6 linked regions of the Oryctolagus cuniculus genome follow. The main gene of each other region encodes a partner of the protein of the gene in region 2 in a complex. Links are inferred from orthologs where the notes say so. Each region holds a gene or a part of one and is shown on either strand. Other genes may lie near its edges. The genes, in order: ARID2, SMARCD2, PBRM1, DPF3, SMARCA2 and SMARCC1.

What was found.
Region 1: SMARCD2 (region 2) and ARID2 share a complex: the UniProt entries of both Homo sapiens proteins name them as parts of the SWI/SNF-B (PBAF) chromatin remodeling complex. The link is inferred for Oryctolagus cuniculus from reciprocal best matches to the Homo sapiens genes SMARCD2 and ARID2.
Region 3: SMARCD2 (region 2) and PBRM1 share a complex: the UniProt entries of both Homo sapiens proteins name them as parts of the SWI/SNF-B (PBAF) chromatin remodeling complex. The link is inferred for Oryctolagus cuniculus from reciprocal best matches to the Homo sapiens genes SMARCD2 and PBRM1.
Region 4: SMARCD2 (region 2) and DPF3 share a complex: the UniProt entries of both Homo sapiens proteins name them as parts of the BAF complex. The link is inferred for Oryctolagus cuniculus from reciprocal best matches to the Homo sapiens genes SMARCD2 and DPF3.
Region 5: SMARCD2 (region 2) and SMARCA2 share a complex: the UniProt entries of both Homo sapiens proteins name them as parts of the BAF complex. The link is inferred for Oryctolagus cuniculus from reciprocal best matches to the Homo sapiens genes SMARCD2 and SMARCA2.
Region 6: SMARCD2 (region 2) and SMARCC1 share a complex: the UniProt entries of both Homo sapiens proteins name them as parts of the BAF complex. The link is inferred for Oryctolagus cuniculus from reciprocal best matches to the Homo sapiens genes SMARCD2 and SMARCC1.

The regions. Positions count from the first base shown.
Region 1 is NC_091440.1:136,620,721-136,624,220, forward strand, and holds part of ARID2 (AT-rich interactive domain-containing protein 2), read left to right. Parts: coding exon 1-104; intron 105-342; coding exon 343-3,200; intron 3,201-3,500. UniProt on the Homo sapiens protein: Involved in transcriptional activation and repression of select genes by chromatin remodeling (alteration of DNA-nucleosome topology). Required for the stability of the SWI/SNF chromatin remodeling complex SWI/SNF-B (PBAF).
Region 2 is NC_091448.1:14,883,575-14,886,623, forward strand, and holds the end of SMARCD2 (SWI/SNF-related matrix-associated actin-dependent regulator of chromatin subfamily D member 2), read left to right. Parts: intron 1-78; coding exon 79-174; intron 175-291; coding exon 292-393; intron 394-515; coding exon 516-677; intron 678-805; coding exon 806-903; intron 904-1,058; coding exon 1,059-1,194; intron 1,195-1,367; coding exon 1,368-1,490; intron 1,491-1,603; coding exon 1,604-1,705; intron 1,706-1,777; coding exon 1,778-1,831; 3' UTR 1,832-2,549; downstream 2,550-3,049. Other genes in the region: PSMC5 (26S proteasome regulatory subunit 8), read right to left, coding at 2,638-2,691, 2,781-2,867, 2,957-3,049. UniProt on the Homo sapiens protein: Involved in transcriptional activation and repression of select genes by chromatin remodeling (alteration of DNA-nucleosome topology).
Region 3 is NC_091441.1:97,043,352-97,047,412, forward strand, and holds the start of PBRM1 (protein polybromo-1), read left to right. Parts: upstream 1-1,261; 5' UTR 1,262-1,401; intron 1,402-1,575; exon of another isoform or gene 1,576-1,713; intron 1,714-3,757; 5' UTR 3,758-3,896; intron 3,897-4,061. Other genes in the region: GNL3 (guanine nucleotide-binding protein-like 3), read right to left, coding at 1-5, 429-487, 1,033-1,045. UniProt on the Homo sapiens protein: Involved in transcriptional activation and repression of select genes by chromatin remodeling (alteration of DNA-nucleosome topology). Required for the stability of the SWI/SNF chromatin remodeling complex SWI/SNF-B (PBAF).
Region 4 is NC_091451.1:18,897,046-18,900,545, reverse strand, and holds part of DPF3 (zinc finger protein DPF3), read left to right. Parts: intron 1-3,044; coding exon 3,045-3,205; intron 3,206-3,500. UniProt on the Homo sapiens protein: Belongs to the neuron-specific chromatin remodeling complex (nBAF complex).
Region 5 is NC_091432.1:164,159,869-164,164,116, forward strand, and holds the start of SMARCA2 (probable global transcription activator SNF2L2), read left to right. Parts: upstream 1-1,448; 5' UTR 1,449-1,601; intron 1,602-3,278; exon of another isoform or gene 3,279-3,417; intron 3,418-3,834; exon of another isoform or gene 3,835-3,974; intron 3,975-4,248. UniProt on the Homo sapiens protein: ATPase involved in transcriptional activation and repression of select genes by chromatin remodeling (alteration of DNA-nucleosome topology).
Region 6 is NC_091441.1:101,101,500-101,104,999, forward strand, and holds part of SMARCC1 (SWI/SNF complex subunit SMARCC1), read left to right. Parts: intron 1-3,167; coding exon 3,168-3,287; intron 3,288-3,500. UniProt on the Homo sapiens protein: Involved in transcriptional activation and repression of select genes by chromatin remodeling (alteration of DNA-nucleosome topology).

The sequences.
Region 1 (3,500 bases), on a different chromosome or scaffold from region 2:
CCTCCCACTCCCCGTGCAGATGTACTACCAGCAGCAGCCAGCGGCGACGCCTGTGGTTCGTGTCGATTCTCTTCCTGACGGGTCTCCAGCTCCTCCACCTGCAGGTAATAATTTCTATTGTGTTTTAAGCGTTGTATTATGTAAATTTAAAGTGTACAGCTTTTCCTTGTTTTTCTGGTAGTGCTTTCTTACTTGAGCTGTTATTTTCTCATAATCATATGATTTGAAGTTGCTGAATATTAATTTTTTAACGGTATTTTTTTGCATTAAGTAAAGTAAGTCCTAATTGCAGACTTCCAGTGCATTTCATTTGAATTTTGGCTTTTTTCCCCCTGTTTTCAGGAATCCCTCATGGATCACAAGCTGTAGGAAACCATTATCAGAGGACTCCTGTTACCAACCAGTCTTCAAGCTTGACTGCAACACAAATGTCTTTTCCAGTACAAGGTGTTCATACTGTGGCTCAGACTGTTTCAAGAATTCCACCAAATCCTTCAGTTCATACCCACCAGCAGCAGAATGCTCCAGTGACTGTCATTCAAAATAAAGCTCCAATTTCTTGTGAAGTTGTTAAGGCGACAGTAATCCAGAACTCTGTGCCCCAGACAGCAGTTCCTGTTAGCCTTGCTGTGGGAGGAGGGCCTCCCCAGACTTCTGTGGTGCAGAATCCTAGTGCAGGGCCACAACCTGTTACCGTTGTGAACTCCCAGACTTTGCTACACCACCCATCTGTAATCCCACAGCCGTCTGCATTACACACAGTGGTACCAGGACAGATAGCTTCAGGCACCCCTGTTACAGTAATTCAGCAAGCGGTCCCACAGAGTCATATATTTGGCAGAGTACAGAATATACCAGCATGCACTTCTGCAGTTTCACAGGGTCAGCAGCTAATCACCACCTCACCCCAGCCTGTGCAGACTTCATCTCAGCCGACGTCAGCTGGTAGCCAGCCACAGGACACTGTCATCATAGCACCCCCACCATATGTAACAACCTCTGCATCCAATATTGTCTCAGCAACTTCAGTGCAGAATTTTCAGGTAGCTGCAGGACAAATGGTTACTATTGCTGGTGTCCCAAGTCCGCAGCCCTCCAGGGTAGGGTTTCAGAACATTGCACCAAAGCCTCTCCCTTCTCAGCAAGTTTCATCAACAGTGGTCCAGCAGCCTATTCAACAGCCACAGCAGCCAGCCCAACAAAGTGTAGTGATTGTAAGTCAGCCAGCTCAACAAGGTCCAACGTATGCACCAGCCATTCACCAGATTGTTCTTGCTAATCCAACAGCTCTTCCGGCTGGTCAGGCAGTTCAGCTAACTGGACAACCAAACATAACTCCATCTTCTTCACCATCACCTGTCCCATCTACTAATAACCAGGTCCCTACTGCCCTGTCATCATCTTCCACCCCTCAGTCACAGGGACCACCCCCTACTGTCAGTCAAATGCTGTCTGTCAAAAGGCAGCAACAGCAGCAGCATTCACCAGCACCCCCACCACAGCAGGTACAAGTACAAGTTCAGCAGCCACAAGTCCAGATGCAAGTTCAACCTCAGCAAGCAAACGCAGGAGTTGGGCAGCCTGCTTCTGGTGAGTCGAGTCTGATAAAACAGCTGCTGCTCCCAAAGCGTGGTCCTTCAACACCAGGTGGTAAGCTTATCCTCCCAGCTCCACAGATTCCTCCCCCTAACAATGCAAGAGCGCCTAGCCCTCAGGTGGTCTATCAGGTGGCCAATAACCAACCAGCAGGCTTTGGAGTGCAGGGGCAAACTCCAGCTCAGCAGCTGTTGGTTGGGCAGCAAAATGTTCAGTTGGTCCAAAGTGCAATGCCACCCACAGGGGGAGTGCAGACTGTGCCCATCTCGAACTTACAGATATTACCAGGCCCGCTGATCTCGAACAGCCCCGCAACCATTTTTCAAGGGACATCTGGCAACCAGGTAACCATAACAGTTGTGCCAAATACGAGTTTTGCAACTGCAACTGTGAGTCAGGGAAATGCAGCTCAGCTCATCGCTCCCGCAGGAATCACCGTGAGTGGCACGCAGGCAGGAGTTGGGCTTCAGGTGCAAACGCTTCCGGCCACGCAGGCATCTCCAGCCGGACAATCATCATGTACTACTGCTACTCCCCCATTCAGAGGTGACAAAATAATTTGCCAAAAGGAGGAGGAAGCAAAGGAAGCAACAGGTTTACATGTTCATGAACGTAAAATTGAAGTCATGGAGAACCCGTCCTGCCGACGAGGAACTACAAACACCAGCAATGGGGATACAAAGGAAAGTGACATACAGGTGGGAAGTCTTTTAAATGGGAGAAAGTACAGTGACTCAAGTCTACCTCCTTCAAACTCAGGGAAAATTCAGAGTGAGGCCAGTCCATGCTCACTCTTTAGTAATGGGCCATCGACAGATTTCGGTGAGAATGGAGCATCTGGAAAACAGAACTCAGAACAGATGGACGTGCAGGATATCAAAAGTGATTTGAAGAAACCCCTGGTTAATGGAATCTGTGATTTTGATAAAGGAGATGGTTCTCATTTAAGCAAAAACATTCCAAATCACAAAACTTCCAATCATGTAGGAAATGGTGAGATATCTCCAATGGAACCACAAGGGACTTTAGATGCCACTCAGCAAGATACTGCCAAAGGTGATCAATTAGAAAGGATTTCTAATGGACCTGTATTAACTTTGGGTGGTTCACCATCTGGAAGCAGCATACAGGAGGCTTCAGCCCTGGCAGCACAGCAGTCTAGTGGTACTGATTTGCCCAATGGACCTCTAGCTTCAAGTTTGAATTCAGATGTGCCTCAGCAACGCCCAAGTGTAGTTGTCTCACCACATTCTACAACCTCTGTTATACAGGGGCATCAGATCCTAACAGTTCCTCACTCAGGACCCCGAGTGTCCCATTCTGCCCTGTCATCTGACGTTCGGTCTGCAAATGGCACAGCAGAGTGCAAAACTGTCAAGCGGCCAGCAGAGGACAGTGACAGGGAGACAGTCCCAGGAATTCCCAGTAAAGTCGGAGTTCGGATTGTTACAATCAGTGACCCCAACAACGCTGGCTGCAGTGCCACAATGGTTGCTGTGCCAGCAGGAGCAGATCCAAGCACTGTAGCTAAAGTAGCAATAGAAAGTGCTGCGCAGCAGAAGCAGCAGCATCCACCAACGTATGCACAGAATGTGGTCCCGCAGGTGAGTCACCGCACCACGGTGTGCCTCTTACCCACTGTTCTCGGTCGCTGATGCAGCCTGGAGGTGATGCTGTGGTCGCTCGCTCACACTCGGGCAGGCCTATGCTTTTTCTCCGGCTGTAATAGGACACTTTTCAGTTGTTAACCATGACACATGGTTGGATCTTTGAGGTTTTTTTGTGACCCAAATTAGTAATCTCAAGGTAGAGAACATCTACCTAACATCATTTGGAGAATTTAGAAAATTCTGAGCCTCTGTCTTTTTTGAGTGCTTCTATGTTTGATTTACACACACATGTTT
Region 2 (3,049 bases):
AACTGCTCCTCCTTGTGCACTTAGCATAGTTTGTCAGAGAACCCAGCAGCACGCCCTCACGCTCTCTTCCATGCCCAGCCTAGCAAACAGAAGAGGAAGTTCTCTTCATTCTTTAAGAGCCTCGTCATCGAGTTGGACAAGGAGCTGTACGGGCCTGACAACCACCTGGTGGAGGTGAGAAGGAGCCTGGGGCTGGCACGCCAGCAGGGAAATGGCCTCGGTGCCTTTGGAGGACCAGGAGTTTATTCATGGTCACCCCTTATGCTCAGCCGCTTCCCTCCTCCCTGCCAGTGGCACCGGATGCCCACCACCCAGGAGACAGATGGCTTCCAGGTGAAACGGCCTGGAGACCTCAATGTGAAGTGCACCCTCCTGCTCATGCTGGATCATCAGGTGACAGAAGCCCGGAGTATGGCTGGGCCTTGGGGACTGGCATGGGAGGGGAGCAGGCGCTTCTGAGCCCTTCTTGTCCCTGCCCTGTTACAAGAACCACCCCCTCCCTCCCTCTTCTCCAGCCTCCCCAGTACAAATTGGACCCCCGACTGGCAAGGCTGCTAGGAGTGCACACGCAGACCAGGGCTGCCATCATGCAGGCCCTGTGGCTTTACATCAAACACAACCAGCTGCAGGATGGGCACGAGCGCGAGTACATCAACTGCAACCGTTACTTCCGCCAGGTTAGCCGGATGCTGCCATCCTGTTCTCAGCCCCTGCCCGGAGGCTGCTGCCCTGCAGCCCAGTGGTCCTAGAACCCGTCAAACCCTCAGGTATCACCAAGTCTTCGGGACTCTCTCCCCCTCTCCAGATCTTCAGTTGTGGCCGACTCCGTTTCTCTGAGATTCCCATGAAGTTGGCTGGGCTGCTGCAGCATCCAGATCCCATTGTTATCAACCACGTCATTAGGTAACTGGAAGGAGGGGGATGGGAAGCAGATTCACCTCTGCTTTCATCTGAAGCCACAGACGCTACGGGTTGGTTTCCTGCTCCCCAAGTGTGTGTATAGACTGGTGTGGCCCAGGGGGACAGCACAGACACCCCCTCCCTTTGTGTGCTCTCAGTGTGGACCCTAATGACCAGAAGAAGACGGCCTGTTATGACATAGATGTGGAAGTGGACGACCCACTGAAAGCCCAGATGAGCAATTTTCTGGCTTCTACCACCAATCAGCAGGAAATCGCATCCCTTGATGTCAAGGTGGGCCCTCCGCCTCCACAAGCTTGTGTGGCTCAGGTGCAGGCAGGCAGCTGTTGGCCTCTGTGCCTGCAGCACCTGCAGGATGGGCTCTCTGGTGCCGCCCTTCAACTTTAGGCCTGGGAACAGACCCCCAAAGCTGAGGGCCAGTCTGACACATGCACCCCTTTTCCCAGATCCATGAGACCATTGAGTCCATCAACCAGCTGAAAACCCAGAGGGACTTCATGCTCAGCTTTAGCACCGACCCCCAGGACTTCATCCAGGAGTGGCTCCGTTCCCAGCGCCGGGACCTCAAGGTGTAGTCCTCCTTCCTGAAGGGGAAGCCCCCATGATGGTCCCCCCCACCCCCACCCCCCAGTTCCAGGGGCAATCAGACCAATGTCATTGCTTTCCTCCTGGCTCTCGGCAGATCATCACTGATGTGATTGGCAATCCCGAGGAGGAGAGGCGAGCTGCTTTCTACCACCAGCCCTGGGCCCAGGAAGCAGTGGGGAGGCACATCTTTGCCAAGGTGAGGCACTGCCTGTTTGCCCTTCTCGGCTGTGAACAGCAGGGGCCTGAGCATGGTCTCCTCCTCCTCTAGGTGCAGCAGCGGCGGCAGGAACTGGAACAGGTGCTGGGAATCCGCTTGACCTAAACTGCTCAGGGATCGCTTCCTTCTTCCCCCCGGGAGCCTAGTAGGGGACCATCCACCGGGGCCTGGCTGGGGGGCGAGGGCTGTCTGTCACTCTACTCCCCAACTTTAGTTTCATAAATGTAGTGGTAGGATTCCTTGTTGCTTGGTTCCCAAAGCCTTATTCCTTACTTTCCATGTTGGCTTTAATTGGGTTCGCAGGATGTCTCCTCTGCCCCCTGCAGGCAGGCCTGGAGGCTGTGCTTTGTTTTGGAACCAAAGGCGCTGGGTTTGCATGTTTACAGGCCCCTCCCCAGGCGAGCGGGAGAGCTGGCTGGGGGAGCTGGGCAAGGAAGATGAGGGGCAGCCCAGACTCTTCCTAACCTCCTGAAACCAAAGTTCTTTGTCATTCCTAGAAGCCCAGCTGTGTTGCTGGTTTTTTCCTTTCCTTTGGGTATTTGCACTATTTGGGAGCAGGATTTTCTATGTGGGAGCCACTTATTTTGTACAGGCGTATGTCGGGATTTTTCAGGGAGCCCTGTTTGGTGCCTCCTTCCTTTCTTTCCTGAATCTATGCAAGCGGCTCCAGCCGCCATCATCTCCTAGGATGCCGGAGGGCGGGGCGGGCCCGCCAGGACCCTCTGCTGCCCTCTGGAGCTTGGTAGGGAGGGTGGGCCTAGGGTTTGGCAAGTGCCACTTCTGGCAGGTTTGGAAATTTCCAAATAAATCCTTTTGTTTATTGGTGGTGCCCAGACCTGGTCATTTGAACAGAGCGGAGAGGCTTGTCCTACAGAGCTTTATTTGAGGGGTCCACACCAAGGATGCAGGGCTCACTTCCATAGTTTCTTAATGGACATGTTCTTCTCACTGTCCTTTTGCATGACCTGAGAGAGAGAATCCGGTAATGAGCACAGGCCCTGGCCCACTGCTCCAGCGCCATCAATAGCAAATGCAGGAAGTCAGAGGCGTCTACCTTGGCAACTGCCATCTCGAAGTCCTCCTGGGTGACATGGACTCGTCGTTCCCGCAGGGCATACATGCCGGCCTCTGTGCACACACCCTGAACAGGGGAAGGGAGCTGAGGCTCTACCACTGGGCCCCAGGGCCCAGAACTTCTACCCTGCCCTCCTTCCCTGAGTCTCTGATCACCTTAACTTCAGCCCCTGACGCTCCTGGCATCAGCTCAGCAATTTTTCTCAGGTTGATCCCCCGGGTCAGGTTCATTTTCCGAGAATGGATCTT
Region 3 (4,061 bases), on a different chromosome or scaffold from region 2:
CGAATCTATGATGACAAGACATTTAATCAGTTTACAAAAAATACCTTTCTACTTTAACACAATTCAAGTAAGAGACCAATATGCATACAACCTAGTCATGCCTGTAAATGCCCCAAGAAAAACGGATCTTTAATGGGAGTCACAGACAGCAAAATATATACTTAAAAAAACAGCAACAGAACGACACTAGGAGGCTCTCCTTGCAGAGATGACTACGTGGAAGTTCCCAGGCTTCCGTACACCAAACACTGCGCCCTCCCAAAGCTGCACTCCTGATCACTGAGAGCTTGTGCTGTGCTTGGTCAGTCCATCCTGTTCCACCTCCCGAAGACTCCATCTTTACTCCAGACTTCTCGATGAGGGAGAGCCAGGGCATTAGTCGGCTTAACAGCCTTTTTCAGTACAGCTCTCCCAAGCGCAACACTTACCTTTTTCTGGATTTTATACCGCTTGTGACAGGTCATACGTTTACTTGCTTTCTTTAACTCTACAAAGAAACACATAACACACGGCCTGGTTTAGTTTTCCGTGAGTGAACTAGAGTCACACCCTTGTGTATTATGTCAAATCTAACGTTAAGAATCATGTGGGGCGCTGAATAAAAACACAGATGCTACTCTCAAATCCCAGATCCGGAACGGAGCCCCAAATCCCTGCTGTTTCCGTGTTAGACGGAAATCACATAGAGCAGTATACGAGTCCCAAAACGACTGCCACTTCGTGTAAGCTCCACGGATCATAAAGCAGGAGAGCAACAGTGGGTTTGGGAAGCGGCTCCCCGGCTCAGCGAGCCCGCCCGCACGCGGCCTGCCACCTGGCTCGGTCGCGGTCTCCTGACAATATGGCGTGATCTTCTCCACCCTCGGCCCGGGCTTAACAGGATGGACACGAGGCCGCCCAACGCTCGGTTATACCGGGAGCAGGGCAACGGCCCACCAGCAGGCCCCAACCTCCCAGAGACCAACGCCCTGGTGCGTTCAGGAACCACCAGAAAAAGAGGCGCCTGCAAGCCCGTTTGCCGATCCCACTCACTGGGCCGCTTCATGCTGGCTGCGGAAACCGCGGCGGCAGAGAACGAAGCAGCAGCAACCTTCCTCGGCGAGCGCCACGTGTGAACTGAGGCCACGAACCAGCGTCACGCAGTCACGTTACCGTCGTAAAGCGCGCCTTCTCTCCTCCGCGTGCGCGCGCACGCAGTGTCGCGCGGAGCCAGGCTCGCTTGGCGGCAGCAAGGCTGGTTTTGCGGCGGCTCTGGGAGGGGTGAGGGCGGTGAGGGCGGCGGGTGCCGGAGCGACGGCAGCGGCCGCGGCCGGAGGAGCAATAGCAGCAGCCGTGGCGGCCACGGGGCGTGGCGTGGCGGTCGGCGACCGCGGCCGGGGCTGCAGACGGCGGAGCGGCTGGGTAAGACCGGGCCCGGGGCGGGCGGGGCCGCTCCCCTTCGGCCGGCCGCCGGGCCTTTGTGTGGGCCCGGGCGGGCGGGCGGGAGCCGCGGCGGAGGCCCCGCCCCGGCCGTGGGGACGCGCCGGTCGGGCCGGGCGCGCGGGCGGGGCGGGGCGCGGCGGCGGGCCTCGGGACGGGCCCCGCAGCCTCGCCGCACCTGCCGGCCGGGACAAAGGCGCGTTGCGGCCCGGAAACTCCGCGCGCCGCTTTCCCGCTCGTCGCCCGGCAGCTTCAAAGCTGTCAACGTTTCCCTTAGTCCCCTACCAGTGACAGGTCGGCCAGGTCCTCCGTTTGCGCCGCCGCTTAGGGCCTGTTTTTGTTGTTGTTTGTTGAGGGCTCAACAGCAAACTCTGCTTAGGAGACGCGTTTTATCTTTCTGGGCGACGGTTCAGACCGAGTATTTTTGTGACTGCGACTTGTATTTGAGAGTAGGGGCTAAACATCAAGTGTTTCAGCTTCTCATTCGCTGCACTACAAAGAATCGCGGTTTGAAAACAGCCTGTTGTTGTTTTTTAAACAATATTTTTCCATCAAAGTTTTTTACGTTCTGAAAGGGAAGCATAGTTTGGTTATTAGAAGGAATAAGAGTCGATGTGCAGAGGAACAAAGAGCGGCAAAGACAGGGAAGAATCCTGGAAAACCAATGGCAAATACGCGGTGGAGTGGCATATGCTGGAGTAAAACGTGTTCCTTTCCTCCACACTGGGACTCCAAATGGTTTTCGGTCTTGGAGTTTTTCCATTCGTTACTGCGCTTTCCCCCGAATCTGGGAAGCAGGCTGTACTCAATGCCAGTATAAAAGAATAGTAAATCTTTGCTTTTGTTCTTTGTTAGCGAATTGCCCGTCTGGATTTTAAGATCCAGAGTGGAAGGTTGGAAAGTACCTCTTGAAGAGGTGTTTGAGATTAAAACTGAAACAAATATGTGTCTGGAGAAATGGAAGGAGTTTGACCATTTTCTTTGACTTTGGGAGTGTACAAAGCACTTCAAATATTAATATTCTGCCAAAATTCCCTGGATAAATAAATTTTATATCTTTGTGATAGACTGCTCTCAAAACATCAAACATCATGAGGAAGAACGCTAGCTTGGGAGAATCTTCCCTAACTTAAAACAGAGGCCATGAAATAATAATAATAATAATAATAATAATAATAATAATAGAGTTTGTTAACACTTTTGTTTAAAAGAAATTAGGCTATTAAAGCATAGATGAATGCCAAAAGCTCTGAGCACAAAATTTGAGTAGTTTTTCTTTGGGAAGTAGGATTATGGGTGCTATTTTTTTTTTTTTTTAAGTTTTGATTTGAGTCTTAGGTTTCCTGGTATTTTTTCTAAAGCTTGTATGTATTACAGAACTAAATACCATTAAAAAATAGGAAAGTACTAAAAGTTTATAGACTGTCACAATATACCATGTGGCTATATAGAGTAAATATTCTCCCAGTTGTACATTATAAAGTATTATTTACTATCCATGGTAAATTCTCATTGGCAGTCAGACTTGTTGACTTGTGACTACAGTCAAGGCCCTTTTAAAGCCTGGAATTGAACTCCAGAATCTCTTCGTGGAATAAAATTGCTGAAGGGTGCTTTCAGGCCTTTAAATTATGCAAATGACCTTTTTTTTAAAGACCCTGTTTTTGTGCACTTTCAGTACATTTATTAACAACAGTTGAGCACCCATCCTATAGGAAATATTAGTCTGTAAGGGCTGCAGAATTGAGTAAGATGCTGTTCCTGTGTCCAGGAAGCATGTGGTGCTAGAGTTGGGGTCTCCTTTCCCTGTCTCAGCAATCCAAGGGCTCTGTGCACGTTTTACTGTTCTCACTTAGAGATGAGGAAACAGACCTGAGAGGTTATGACTCAGGCAACATCAAACAGATAATTAGAGGTGAAAGACCTGGGACTCCTGTTCTGGTTTTGAGTGGACGTTCCTTGTGCCTTGCAAGATTGCCTTTCTTGCCAAACTTCCAAATTACATTTTTAAACTATGTCCTTTGGATAAGAAAATATTTGAAAGTTATCATTGGATTGCATCTTTTTCTTATTCAGGATTTGGGGTATTGTATCTAAACTAGGTACTCACACTGGTAATTTATATTTTTGTCATTTGGTTTTCAGTTTGTTTGCAAAAGTAATTTCGAACTGCAAAAATCGTTGAAGGCATTTTTTTTTAACCTTGCTAAATTTATATGCTGTGTCTTTGCAGTGCAAATAGGACTTTTGGAAAGAAATGTCTGTCTCTGAATTTTGGGGTTGGGGGAGGAGTTTTCCGAACTTGTTGCTCACATGAGCCATTCTCGGTTTGTTCCAGCTTGCCAACACTTGGTGTCACATGTGAGCCTCCCACATGTGTTCACTCTCCATTCCAGCTCTGTGATTGAACTCTGCTCTTATTGACTAGGGGGCAGTGGGCAGGCATGCTTCATTCCTGGAATTGACAGTCATTCCATGTGAGTAAAGGGGACCCTCAGTGAGACGTTTAAGTGTACGAAAGCACTCCGTGTTAAAATGGAAGAAATGTCAAGTACTGTTAGTGAGTCTTTGTAGCAGTGTGTTTTGATAGGTACAAGAGAACTGATAGGCCTGTTTTCTCCAGTTCTCTTATCTTTCTGTAG
Region 4 (3,500 bases), on a different chromosome or scaffold from region 2:
TCCATCAGGAGTTCTGCAAGTTCTCATCAGTGTGGTGTGGCTGACATTGTGGCATGGCCAGTGTGGTCAGCATGATTCCTGGAGGGGAGCTGGAACAGTCAGGTCACCCTGAACAGGGTGGGCCATCGGCCTGGGCTGAGCTGTTGTAAGTTTTGTCCCACTGTGCTACATCAGCTGGGTTGAGGAGGCATTTAAGCTGGTGTGACACAGATGCACATTTTCTAGGAAATTATTATTCTTGATCAATCTGGTGATCCTTGTCACCAACTTTGATTACATCAGCTTATGTGCCATTCAGTTTTATAGCATTTTAATGGGCTTTCACCCTCCCCTCCCAAATTTATTTCCAGCTGTGTGACTATTCTAATTTGATTATTTTTTTGATTTTGCAACTACCGGCACAGTTTCTGAGCATGCTATGCCTTCCTTGGGAGTACGAGGATCTTCAGGGGGTGAAAAAAACCAAAGCTTTCTTTTTTTCCAGATGCTTGTCAAAAAGTTGATTAGTTGTATTCTCCCAGAGTAAGATGTTTGCTTGGAACTCTTTGATAGAATCTGACCCATTGATTTTCTAAAAACAGTATAGAAAACTTCATTTAGAACTTTGCTTTCTAACAAGTAGTGGTGAAGATGGGGTAACTGGAAGCCTGGTGCACTGTGGGTGGGAATGTGAAATGAGATAGCCACTAAGGACAATCATATGAGTGGTTGCTTGACAGATTGAAAATGGGACTACCGTATGATCCAGCAATCCCACTCCTGGGTGTGTGCCCGAAATAATTAAAAGCAGGGACTTGAACAAGTACTTATATGCCCAGAGTCCATGGCACCATTATTCCCAATAGCTCAAACGTGGAAGCAACCATGGATAGAAGAATGAATAAGCAAAATGTGGTTTATACAGACAATGGAATATTATCTAACTTTAAAAAGTAAGGTGCTTAGATGAACTGAAATCAAAGGCAGGGAAAGTCGAGTGTTGTTTGCCAGGGTTGGGGAGAAGGTGGAATAAGGAGTTAGTGTTTAAGCGGTAGAGTTTCACTTGCACAATGAAGAGTTCTAGAGCTGGATGGTGGTGATGGTTGTGCAACCACGTGAAGGTACTTAATACCACTGAACTGTATACTTAGAAATGATTAAGATGATCAATTTTATGTCTGTTTTTAAAAAAGAATTGTAAAAGCCCAACTTGGCTTTCTTTATTATATTTTGGTTAAGAAAAACCAGATTTTTTTTTAATTTTTATTTTTTGACAGGCAGAGTGGACAGTGAGAGAGAGAGACAGAGAGAAAGGTCTTCCTTTGCCGTTGGTTCACCCTCCAATGGCCGCCGCGGCCGGTGCGCTGCGGCCGGCGCGCCGCGCTGATCCAATGGCAGGAGCCAGGAGCCAGGTGCTTTTCCTGGTCTCCCATGGGGTGCAGGGCCCAAGCACCTGGGCCATCCTCCACTGCACTCCCTGGCCACAGCAGAGAGCTGGCCTGGAAGAGGGGCAACCGGGACAGAATCCGGCGCCCCAACCGGGACTAGAACCCGGTGTGCCGGCGCCGCTAGGCGGAGGATTAGCCTAGTGAGCCGCGGCGCCGGCCGAAAAACCAGATTTTTAACCCAGAGATTTTCTCTCCTAGATTTTGACTTTCTCAAATCTACAATAGAGCCAAAAAGGACTCGCAATGCTGGTTCAGAATGAGCGACCTGATTCTCCTTTGCACCTCCAGTTCCTGTGTCTCCTCCCCTTCTCACCTCCCTCCCCTCCCCAAGAAGTTCAAATTTACCTGGCAGATGTTATTTTTTTAAAAAATTTATTAATTTCACACCTTTCTTTTTTTTAAAAAAAAGATTTTATTTACTAATTTGAGAGAGAGATTTACAGGCAGAGAGAGGGAGAGAGAGAGAGGTCTTCCATCTGCTGGTTCACTCCCCAGATGGCCTCAACAGCCAGAGCTGTGCTGATCTAAAGCCAGGAGCCAGGTGCTTCTTCCTTGCCTCCCATGTAGGTGCAGGGGCCCAAGGACTTGGGGCATCTTCTACTGCTTTTCCAGGCCATAGCAGAGAGCCGGCTGGGAAGTGAAGCAGCTGTGCCTCAAACTGGCACCTATATGGGATGCTGATGGCACAGGCAAAGGCTTAGCCTACAAGCCACAGCACTGGAAGTTATGTTATTATATTTCTATTTCCTTAAGCCATTTATTACCCTCCACCACGTGCCTCTGCTTTATTTATTAGGCATTTGATCTCGTTGATTATTTTTGTGCTTTACATTAGATTAGTTAAGTCAATGGCATGTTTTTGGTCTTCAAAAGGACACCTTCTTAACATTAGCATCACCGTATGTCTGTGGATCCCAGAGACTTGAAAATGTAGAATTTCCTGGGCTTAATCAGATCCACACTCCAGCAAAACAGGTCTCGCTACTTGTGTTTTAAACTCCCAAGAGTTGAATGATTCTGAGCTCAACTATTATTTTGAATGCTGCTTTTGTTTGCTTCCCATCAGAGAAAGTCATTTTTCTTGAAGGATGTGGTTTCAAAGTGTGGGTGTCTGTCCCTGTCTGCCCCGGTTCCCCTGTGAATCGCTCTGCGTTGCGGCGAGTTGCAGCCTCTGGTCAGAGTGTTTCTCTCCCGCAGTGGCAGGAATCCGGGTAGCTTGGCTGGGAGCTTGGGTTCCTCTGGAGCGTCTGCCTGTGACTGCAGAGCACAGGGCGTGGGTCACGACGGCTGGGAGGGGGATTCTAGAAGCAGACCCCACGCGGCATGTTGTTCCGGAGAGAGGCCACATGCTTTCTACGGCGCGGCCTCGTCACTGTTCCTGGTGGCTCATTCGCTGCGCTCCAGGCTGTCTGTTGATGGAGCTTCGGGTTGCCGGTGGGTTTGGGGTTGGAAATAGAACCTGGCGGAGGCGCTCCTGGCACTGCGCTCCGTGCGCTTCGTCTTGATCCTCATAACCGCACAGATTCTTCCCGGGAGATGGATGCGGGGGCGTCGGGTTGCCTCTGGGGCTGTTTCGGGTTCCCCCGGCCTCATGCCTTCCGTCCCTGTCTCCCGCAGGCTCGGGGACCAGTTCTACAAGGAAGCCATCGAGCACTGCCGGAGCTACAACTCGCGCCTGTGCGCGGAGCGCAGCGTGCGCCTCCCCTTCCTGGACTCGCAGACCGGGGTGGCCCAGAACAACTGCTACATCTGGATGGAGAAACGGCACCGAGGGCCAGGTGAGCCGCGCCGCCCCTGGGTGTGCGGCCGCCTGGCTGGAGCCGGGAGGACAGGGCTGGGGAACCCACCGGGTGGGATGGGGGCTGCACGTGGTCCTGGCGCGGGTTCCAAGGAATGTCACTAGGCCTGGGTGGGACACCGAATTCCGGAGGCATCCTGCATATGTGTCCCCAAGAGAAGGCCAGGCCCGTGGAGAGCAGCCCTCCCCTGTCCCTCTGTGGTGTGGGTCCCAGGCTGGAAATCTGCACGCAGATCTGGGCGAGAGGCCTTGTCACCAGACCTCTGCCCCTCAGC
Region 5 (4,248 bases), on a different chromosome or scaffold from region 2:
AGTCTAAAAGAATAGGCCCCTGATTTAAAATCTCCTAACATTCTTTCACACTTCATAAAACTAAAAATAAAATTGTCTCACCAAACACGGGCCTATTGGGTCCGGCCAAAATACTGTATTTTAAGGAAAACTGGAGCAAGAGGTCTCAAAACCGTGATGAGCCAGCAGATTGCAGTCTGTTGCCTTAATTGGTCTTAAATGTGCGGTGGGAGAAGAGAGACTATGATTCGCAGAGAATACGAGAGATTTATTCCCCTCCTTAAATCAAAAGCAGATTCCACGCCTCCCCCTAGCCCTCCGCCCCGCCGTCCCCCACGGGGTGGTGTGTCCCCACTTTGGGGTGTATTTTACTGGAAGCTGACAGGTGAGGCGAGGGTGAGTGCTGCCTAGCCCGCGGAGCCAACGCTGGGGCCAGAGCGGGCTTATTCACCGGGAAGGCGCTCAGCCTCTCAGCTGTTTCTCCCTCGCTGGCATTTGGAACTTGGTAGTCCTTTAGAGGGACAGATTTGGCAGGAATGCGCTTGGTACCCGCCTCCCTTTATGGGGAGGGAGCAGATTTGTTTTTAATTGCTATAACACCACCTTTATTTATTTAATGTAAAATAAAACTGACCCTTTGTGACCTTTGATGTGGTCTTTGATGTTGTATATTTTAAATAGCACACTTCCAAGTGCGGGTCTGTTGTTGTGAATCAGCAGTCTGCAGCCTGTTTTTTTTTAACTTTTATTTAATGAATATAAATTTCCAAAGTACAGTTTATGGATTACAATGCCCCCCCCCCATAACTGGGGAAGAAGCAGATTTATAATGACAGCTAACCCTTTATGGGAGGGGGGGCTGGGGTCGAAAAAGTTTCAGCCAGCTCCACCATGTCCGTTTCTTCCATGGTCAACATTGTGCCACCGACAGCTCTGGTGCCCCTCGGGGCCTCCCTGCCTCCCCTCCCGCTCCTCTGCAGGCTCGCTCTGGCAGGCGGAGGCACAGTTAAATTCCAGCACCTTCTCCACGGACGGCCCCAACTACTACGCGCTATTACTACGGCTCGCTCTCCCTTTCGCTTCCCCAGCCTCCCCGGAGGAGCCCCGCAGCACCCCTCCGAGGCTGGGCCAAGCTGGGCGAGCCTGCACCGGGCTCCAGCAGGGTTCGGGGCGCTCGGCGTCCTGCACCAGGTCCTCCGCTCCAGGCACAAGCCCGGCCCGCGAGCCGGCGCCTCGCCGACACACACACACACACACACACACACACGCACGGATCCACGCATACAGTAGAGCTGTCTCGCTGCACATTCTTGCACACCGCCCCCTGCTCCCCCCACCGCGCTCCCGGAGTCGCTGAGCAGGCCGAGTGACAGGCGCGTCCCGCCAACCCGCGCCCGGCCGGGCAGGGAGGAGCGGCGCGCGGGGCCAACTGCGGCGCGTCTTCCGGCGCCCGTGGAGGCGGCGAGGGTGGGCCGCGGGGCGGAGCCCGAGTTTAGGAAGAGGAGGGGACGGCTGTCATCAATGAAGTCATATTCATAATCTAGTCCTCTCTCCCTGTGTTTCTGTACTCTGGGTGACTCAGAGAGGGAAGAGATTCAGCCGGCACACTCCTCGCGAGCAAGGTAAATAGAACTTACAACTCCCGTCTCCTCCTCCTCCTCCCTCCGGCCTCCCCGCCGCCGCCGCGCGCGAACCCCTCCGGCACCGCGCCGCCCTCCCCGGCGACTATTCATTATTACCCTAATTATTATTTATTGTGCATGCACGGAGACCAAAACAAACAGGCGGGCCAACCGCCGCAACACACACAAAAAAGCCCGCCTCTTCTCCCCCGCGGGCCTCAGGTGGAAGGCTCGGACGCCAGCTCCCGGGGCGGCTGTGGAAGAGACCAGAAAGTTTCGGCCGAACCTTGCCGTTCTAATAATAACCGTCGTAATGACTGCTTCAGGGGGGCGAGCGGGGCGGAAATCGCAACAGATCACAGCCTTGACCCTGGGTCTGGAGCCAGGGATGCGCTGCCAACTCAAGGTTGCAACACACACGCACACGCACGCACTCGGCCAGGTTGCGGTTCCACCATCCCCTGAAACGTCGGGTGGCGGGGGCTGGGTGGGTGGGTGGTTTGGGGCGGGGGGAGGTGCGACCCTGCATCCCGAGCCGTCTTCCCCGGAAGAGTTGGAAGGGGGACGGGAAAGGAGGGCGGAGGAGCCCGGGCGGGCGGCCGGGGAGCCGAGGAACGCGGCCGCCGCTCGCTTCCCGGGGAATGTTTAAAGGGCTGCGGCTGCGGCGCCGCGAGGGGGGATCGCGCGGAGGAGGCTGCGGCCGCGGCCGCGGGGTTGGTGCGTGCGGCTCGGAGGTGTCACCTCCACTCTCCGCGTCCCCTCGGGCGGGGATGGGGACGCTGACCGTTCAGCAGGCCTTGAGGCAAAGGCGCCGTCCGGAGGGCTTGCACTCGAGGTGCCGCGGGCGTCCTGCCCCCTGGGTACCTGACAGCAGCGCGGGCTCGGGTGCTAAAGTTCGGGTGTCCGGCCCCGGGGCCGCCTGGGCTGGGCGGGCGAAAGGAGGCACCGAAGAAGGAGATCGGAGGTGCCTGCCCGGCTCTGCAACCCTGCCCCCCCCACGCCGCCCGCCCGCCACCCCCACGGGTCTGTTTTCTTTTTGCTCGGCGGCTTCCCCGGGGCTGGCGCTGCGGGAGCCGCGGCCGCGGGGGCGCCGGTGCTCGTCCGGGTCCTAGGGGCGCGCTGGGATCCGGGAGAGCCGCGGCGGCTCCGGGCCGGGAAGGCCGTGATCCGGATAATCCTCTCTGCCTGACTGTCACAAACAGGACCCGCGCGCACCCGGGCAGCGGCGGTGGCGTTCGCCAGGAAAGGGGAAGGGCTGCGGTGGGAAGGGAATGGAGGGGGGTGAGTGACGAGGGCGGGAGGCGGGGAGACCCGGGGAGAGCCTCCTCCCAAGGATGACACGCACCCCTTCCTTCTCGCTCCCTGCGTGCGAGTTTGCCTTGTTCCCATCCCAACCTGGGTCACCCCGCGCCTCTGCGCTGCTCCTCCACCCGGCCGTCTTCCCTCCTCCCGTCTGCGTTGCAAAACACGGCCATGCCATCTGCAAAGGTGTCGCGATGCACTTCCCCAAATAACCAGTCCGGAGCGCCAGCCCCCAGGCGCCTTTCGGCCCCAGGGCGCACGCCGAGCAGTGCCTCGGATGCCCGGCTCCAGGCCTCGCCTCCCGGCCGCAGTCGCGCGGCGCGGGGCGGGGCGGGGCGCAGCAGTGCGGGCTCCGGGGGAGACCCGCGCCCCGGCCGGGGCACTCGCGCCGGTTTCCGGTACACGCGGGGAGATCGCCTCCTGCCAGTATCTGCGCGCTCGCCCCCGCCGCCGCCGCCGCTCGCCTGGATTGCATTATTATTTTTATCCGGGTTGCCGCTCGCTGCGGATGGTGGTGAGCGCGGGGCTTGGCCAGGCTGCTCGCGGGGTGTGGGGGAGGAGGGAAGTTGGACGTGGATCAGGAAGGAAAAAAAAAAGTTTGGCGGGGCTGTGAGTGGGGAGGAGGGCTGGGAGGGGGCGGCGAGCTCCCGCGGCTGGGGCCCGGCGCGAGTGTGTGTGAGTGTGAGTGAGTGAGTGTGTGTGTGTGTTGTGAGCGCCGGGCAGCGCGTCGGGAGCTGCGGCGCGCTCCCCCGGAGCCCGAGGAGGACCAGCGAGGGCTGGTGGCCAGGGCCGGTGGGGGCGGCGTGTTCGAGTGGCTGGGAGTGTGTGTGCGCGCGCGAGCGGCGGAGAATCAGGAAGTCACAGCAGCGAAGCGCACACAGACATGTTTGATCGCCGTGACATGACGCGCGCGAGGGAGGAAGCGGCGGCGGCGGCGGCGGCGGGGGCCGGGCCGCGGGCTCGGGCGCCGGCCTAGGGCTGCGGCTCGGAGGACTCGCTCCCCGCCGCGCTGCGCGCTGCCTCCCCACGCTCCACCGGCGCTGAGCCCCTTTTGTGTTCCGCGTCCCCCAGGTAAGGAGCCTGCGTCGCGGCCGCCGCGGTGTCCCGAGCTTTCCAGCTCTTTGCCTGCCAGCCCCCCTCGGGTCTACGGTCTCGGCTTTCCTGCGAAGTCGGGCTGGCGGGGGAAACGGGTCCTCCGATCGCTGGCGTGGAAAACTTTCCAGTCGGAGGCACCGTGCACGGGGGGAACCGAAGGCCTCGGCGGCCACTGTCGCTTGTCAGGTCCTCGCCCAGGTCCGAGGAGTGTGAGTCGCTGTTGCAGATTCAAACTTCGGGCCTAAATGTG
Region 6 (3,500 bases), on a different chromosome or scaffold from region 2:
GCTGACATTACATTTGGGTCTTTCAGCATTACAAAATCCGGGTTCATTTTCCACCTAAGCTGCTGCCTTTGTATTACTGAGTACACTTCATTCACCTCATGTTTGATAAAGATGAGCGCCTTACCTCTGCGCATAGCTCCTGAATAGTTTTCAGTTGATAAAACCCTAACAGTACTGACTTCAGACTGATTTGTTCACCGCCTGAAGGATATCTAAGCTCCCAGATAAGTTTCTTCCCAAAGTTTGACTTATTGTTGAAATAAGATTTGAGGTTTCAGGATGATCACTAAAGTTAGGTCACCTAAGGAAGATGTTTTAATACCTTTTACACAAATTATTTGACAGTTAAAGATAGTTAAATGGTTATTTTTTTAAAAAGATTTATTTATTTATTTGAAAGTCAGAATTACAGAGAGAGGGAGAGACAGTGGGAGATCTGTCCACTGGTTCTCTCCCCAAATGGCCAGGCCCAAGCCAGTAGCTTCATCTGGGTCTCCGATGTGGGTGGCAGGGGCCCAAGGGCTTGGGCCGTCCTCTGCTGATTTTCCTAGGCTATTAGCAATGAGCTGGATCAGAGTGCAGCAGCTGGGACTTGAACTGGCATCCATATGGGATGCTGGTGCCGCAGATGGTGGCTTAACCCTCTGTGCATAGCACCAACTCTGTAAATATTTTTAAGATTTATTTTTTATTTATTTATTTTTATTTTTTTGACAGGCAGAGTGAACAGTGAGAGAGAGAGAGAGAAAGGTCTTCCTTTAGCCGTTGGTTCACCTTCCAATGGCCGCGCTGATCCAAAGCCAGGAGCCAGGTGCTTATCCTGGTCTCCCATGGGGTACAGGGCCCAAGCACCTGGGCCATCCTCCACTGCACTCCCTGGCCACAGCAGAGAGCTGGCCTGGAAGAGGGGCAACCGGGACAGAATCCGGCTCCCAGACCGGGACTAGAACCCGGTGTGCCGGCGCCGCAAGGCAGAGGATTAGCCTAGTGAGCCGCGGCGCCGGCCAAGATTTATTTATTTGAAAGGCAGAGTGACAGGGAGTGATAGATGTCTTGCATCCACTAGTTAGCTCCTCATATGGCTGCAACAGCCAGATTGGGCCAAGCCGAAGCCTGGAGCCTGGAGCTCCATCTGAATCTTCCAATTACCGGGGCCATCTTTTACTGCTTTCCCAGGCACACTGGCAGGGAGCTGGATCGGAAGTGGGGCAGATGGAATGAAATCCTTTGCTCTCTTATAGGGTGTCAGAATTGTAGGTAGCGGCTTGACCTGCTGAGCCACAACACCAATCCTAGTTATTTTCATAAATCATATCTTTTCTTTCCATTTCCTACAATCTTTTTTTTTCTTAATTTTATTATTTTGTACAGCAGGGAGACAGGAAGAGACAGACAGACACAGGTTGTCCATCTGCTGGTTTACTCCCCAGATGACTGCAACATTTGGGACTGGACCAAGGCTGATGGAAGCCAAGAGCTGGGAACTCAATTTTGAGTCTCCCTTATGGGTAACAGACTCAAACACTTGAGCCTTGTGGTAGAATGTGCATTGTGGTGCAGCGAGTTAAGCTGTGGCTTGGGATGCCAGTGTCCCATTCATATATTCATGCCTGGGATCCAGTCTTGCCTTTGCTTCCATTTTAGCATCCTGTTAATGCACCTGGGAGGCCATAGTTTATGGCTCAAGTACCTAGGTCCCTACCACCTGCATAGGATACCTAGATTAGTTCTTGGCTCCCAGCGTCAGCCCAGTCCAGGCTATTGCAGGCTTTTGAGGAGTGAGCCAGCAGGTGGGAGATCTCTCCCTATCTTTCTTTCTGTCACTATGTCTTTATTTTTCTTTGCCCCCCCCCCTTTTTTTTAGATCGTTATTTATTTGAAAGACAGTTATAGAAAGAGAGGTCTTCCATCTGCTAGTTCACTCACCAAATGGCCCCATTGGGTGGAGCTGGAGTTTCATCCGGTTTTCCCACATGGGCGCAGGGTCCCAAGCTCTTGGGCCATCTTCTGCCGTGTTCCCAGCCGCATTAGTGGGGAGCTGGATAGGAAGTGGAGCAGCAGCTGGGACTCAACGCCCATTTGGGATTCCGGGGCCTAACCTGCTAAGCCACCATACTGGCCCCCACATGAACATTTTTTTCCCGTTTTTTTTTTTTTTTTTAATGTTTTATTGAAATATAGTATATATACCATGAGATGCACTTAAGTATAGCTTTTTTTCATTCTGAATGACAATATTGGGAATGAAACATGTATGTTATAAAGGACCTTAGAATATACACAAAGATACATGTTATTTCAAATTTTTATTTTCATTTTTTATTTGAAAGGCAGAGAGAGCTCTCCCATTTGCTTGTTCACTCCCTAAATGCTGACAAGCCAGGAATTGATTTCAAGTAAGCCACATGGGTAGCAGGTACCCAAGTACTTGAGCTATCATCTTCTGCCCCCTAAGATGTGCGTTAGCAGGAAGCCGGATCAGAGGCCCAGTTGAGACTTGACTCCAGGCACTCTGATGTCAGATGTGGGTATCCCAAGGCACAGTGCCCTTCTCTGTCTACTAAAATTTGAGAACAATGGCTTTAGACTGACAGTTGACATCTTATATGCTCTGTTGTATAAAATTTGTCTTCAGTGTTTGATTCATGTCTGGCATATACTGCTATGTGTCACATGTGTGGGTGTGTGGGTGTTTTTTTATTTTTTTTATTTGACAGGTAGAGTTATAGACAGTGAGAGAGAGAGAGAGGCAGAGAGAAAGGTCTTCCTTCTGTTGGTTCAACCCCCAAATGGGCGCTACAGCCGGAGCTACACTGATCCGAAGCCAGGAGCCAGGTGCTTCTTCTTGGTCTCCCATGAGGGGCAGGGGCCCAAGCACTTGGGCCATCCTGCACTGCCCTCCCGGGCCACAGCAGAGAGCTGGACTAGAAGAGTATCAGCCGGCACTAGAACCCGGTGCCTTTATGGGATGCTGGTGCCACAGGCGGAGGATTAACCGAGCGAGCCTGTGTGGTATTTTTTTAAATAAAAATTTATTTATCTGAAAGGCAGAGGTACTAGATGCCATTCTACTAGAATGGCAGTGCTTAGTAGATACTAGGAAGTAAGCCAGCAGTCTCTCCTGCAACAGTTGTACCACTTTTTAAGTCTGTCTCTTTATTTTGCAGTATGTTCATGCGGATGCTCCTACCAATAAAACACTGGCTGGGCTGGTGGTACAGCTTCTCCAGTTCCAGGAAGATGCCTTTGGGAAGCATGTCACCAACCCGGCCTTCACCAAACTTCCTGTAAGTACATCAATTTATAATAGTACTGGGGCATTTTCAGTTTCTGTGTGCCAGCCTATTGCTATTTTCCTTTGCTATGACTAGTGTATAAATTTTAAAAAAGGGAACCTCAACAGAATTTTAGCTGAGGCTTTTTTGCTGTTTAAAAAAATATATTTTTTAAAAAATTTGAGAGACAGAAACAGACACATGTGACTCCCATCTGCTGAAACT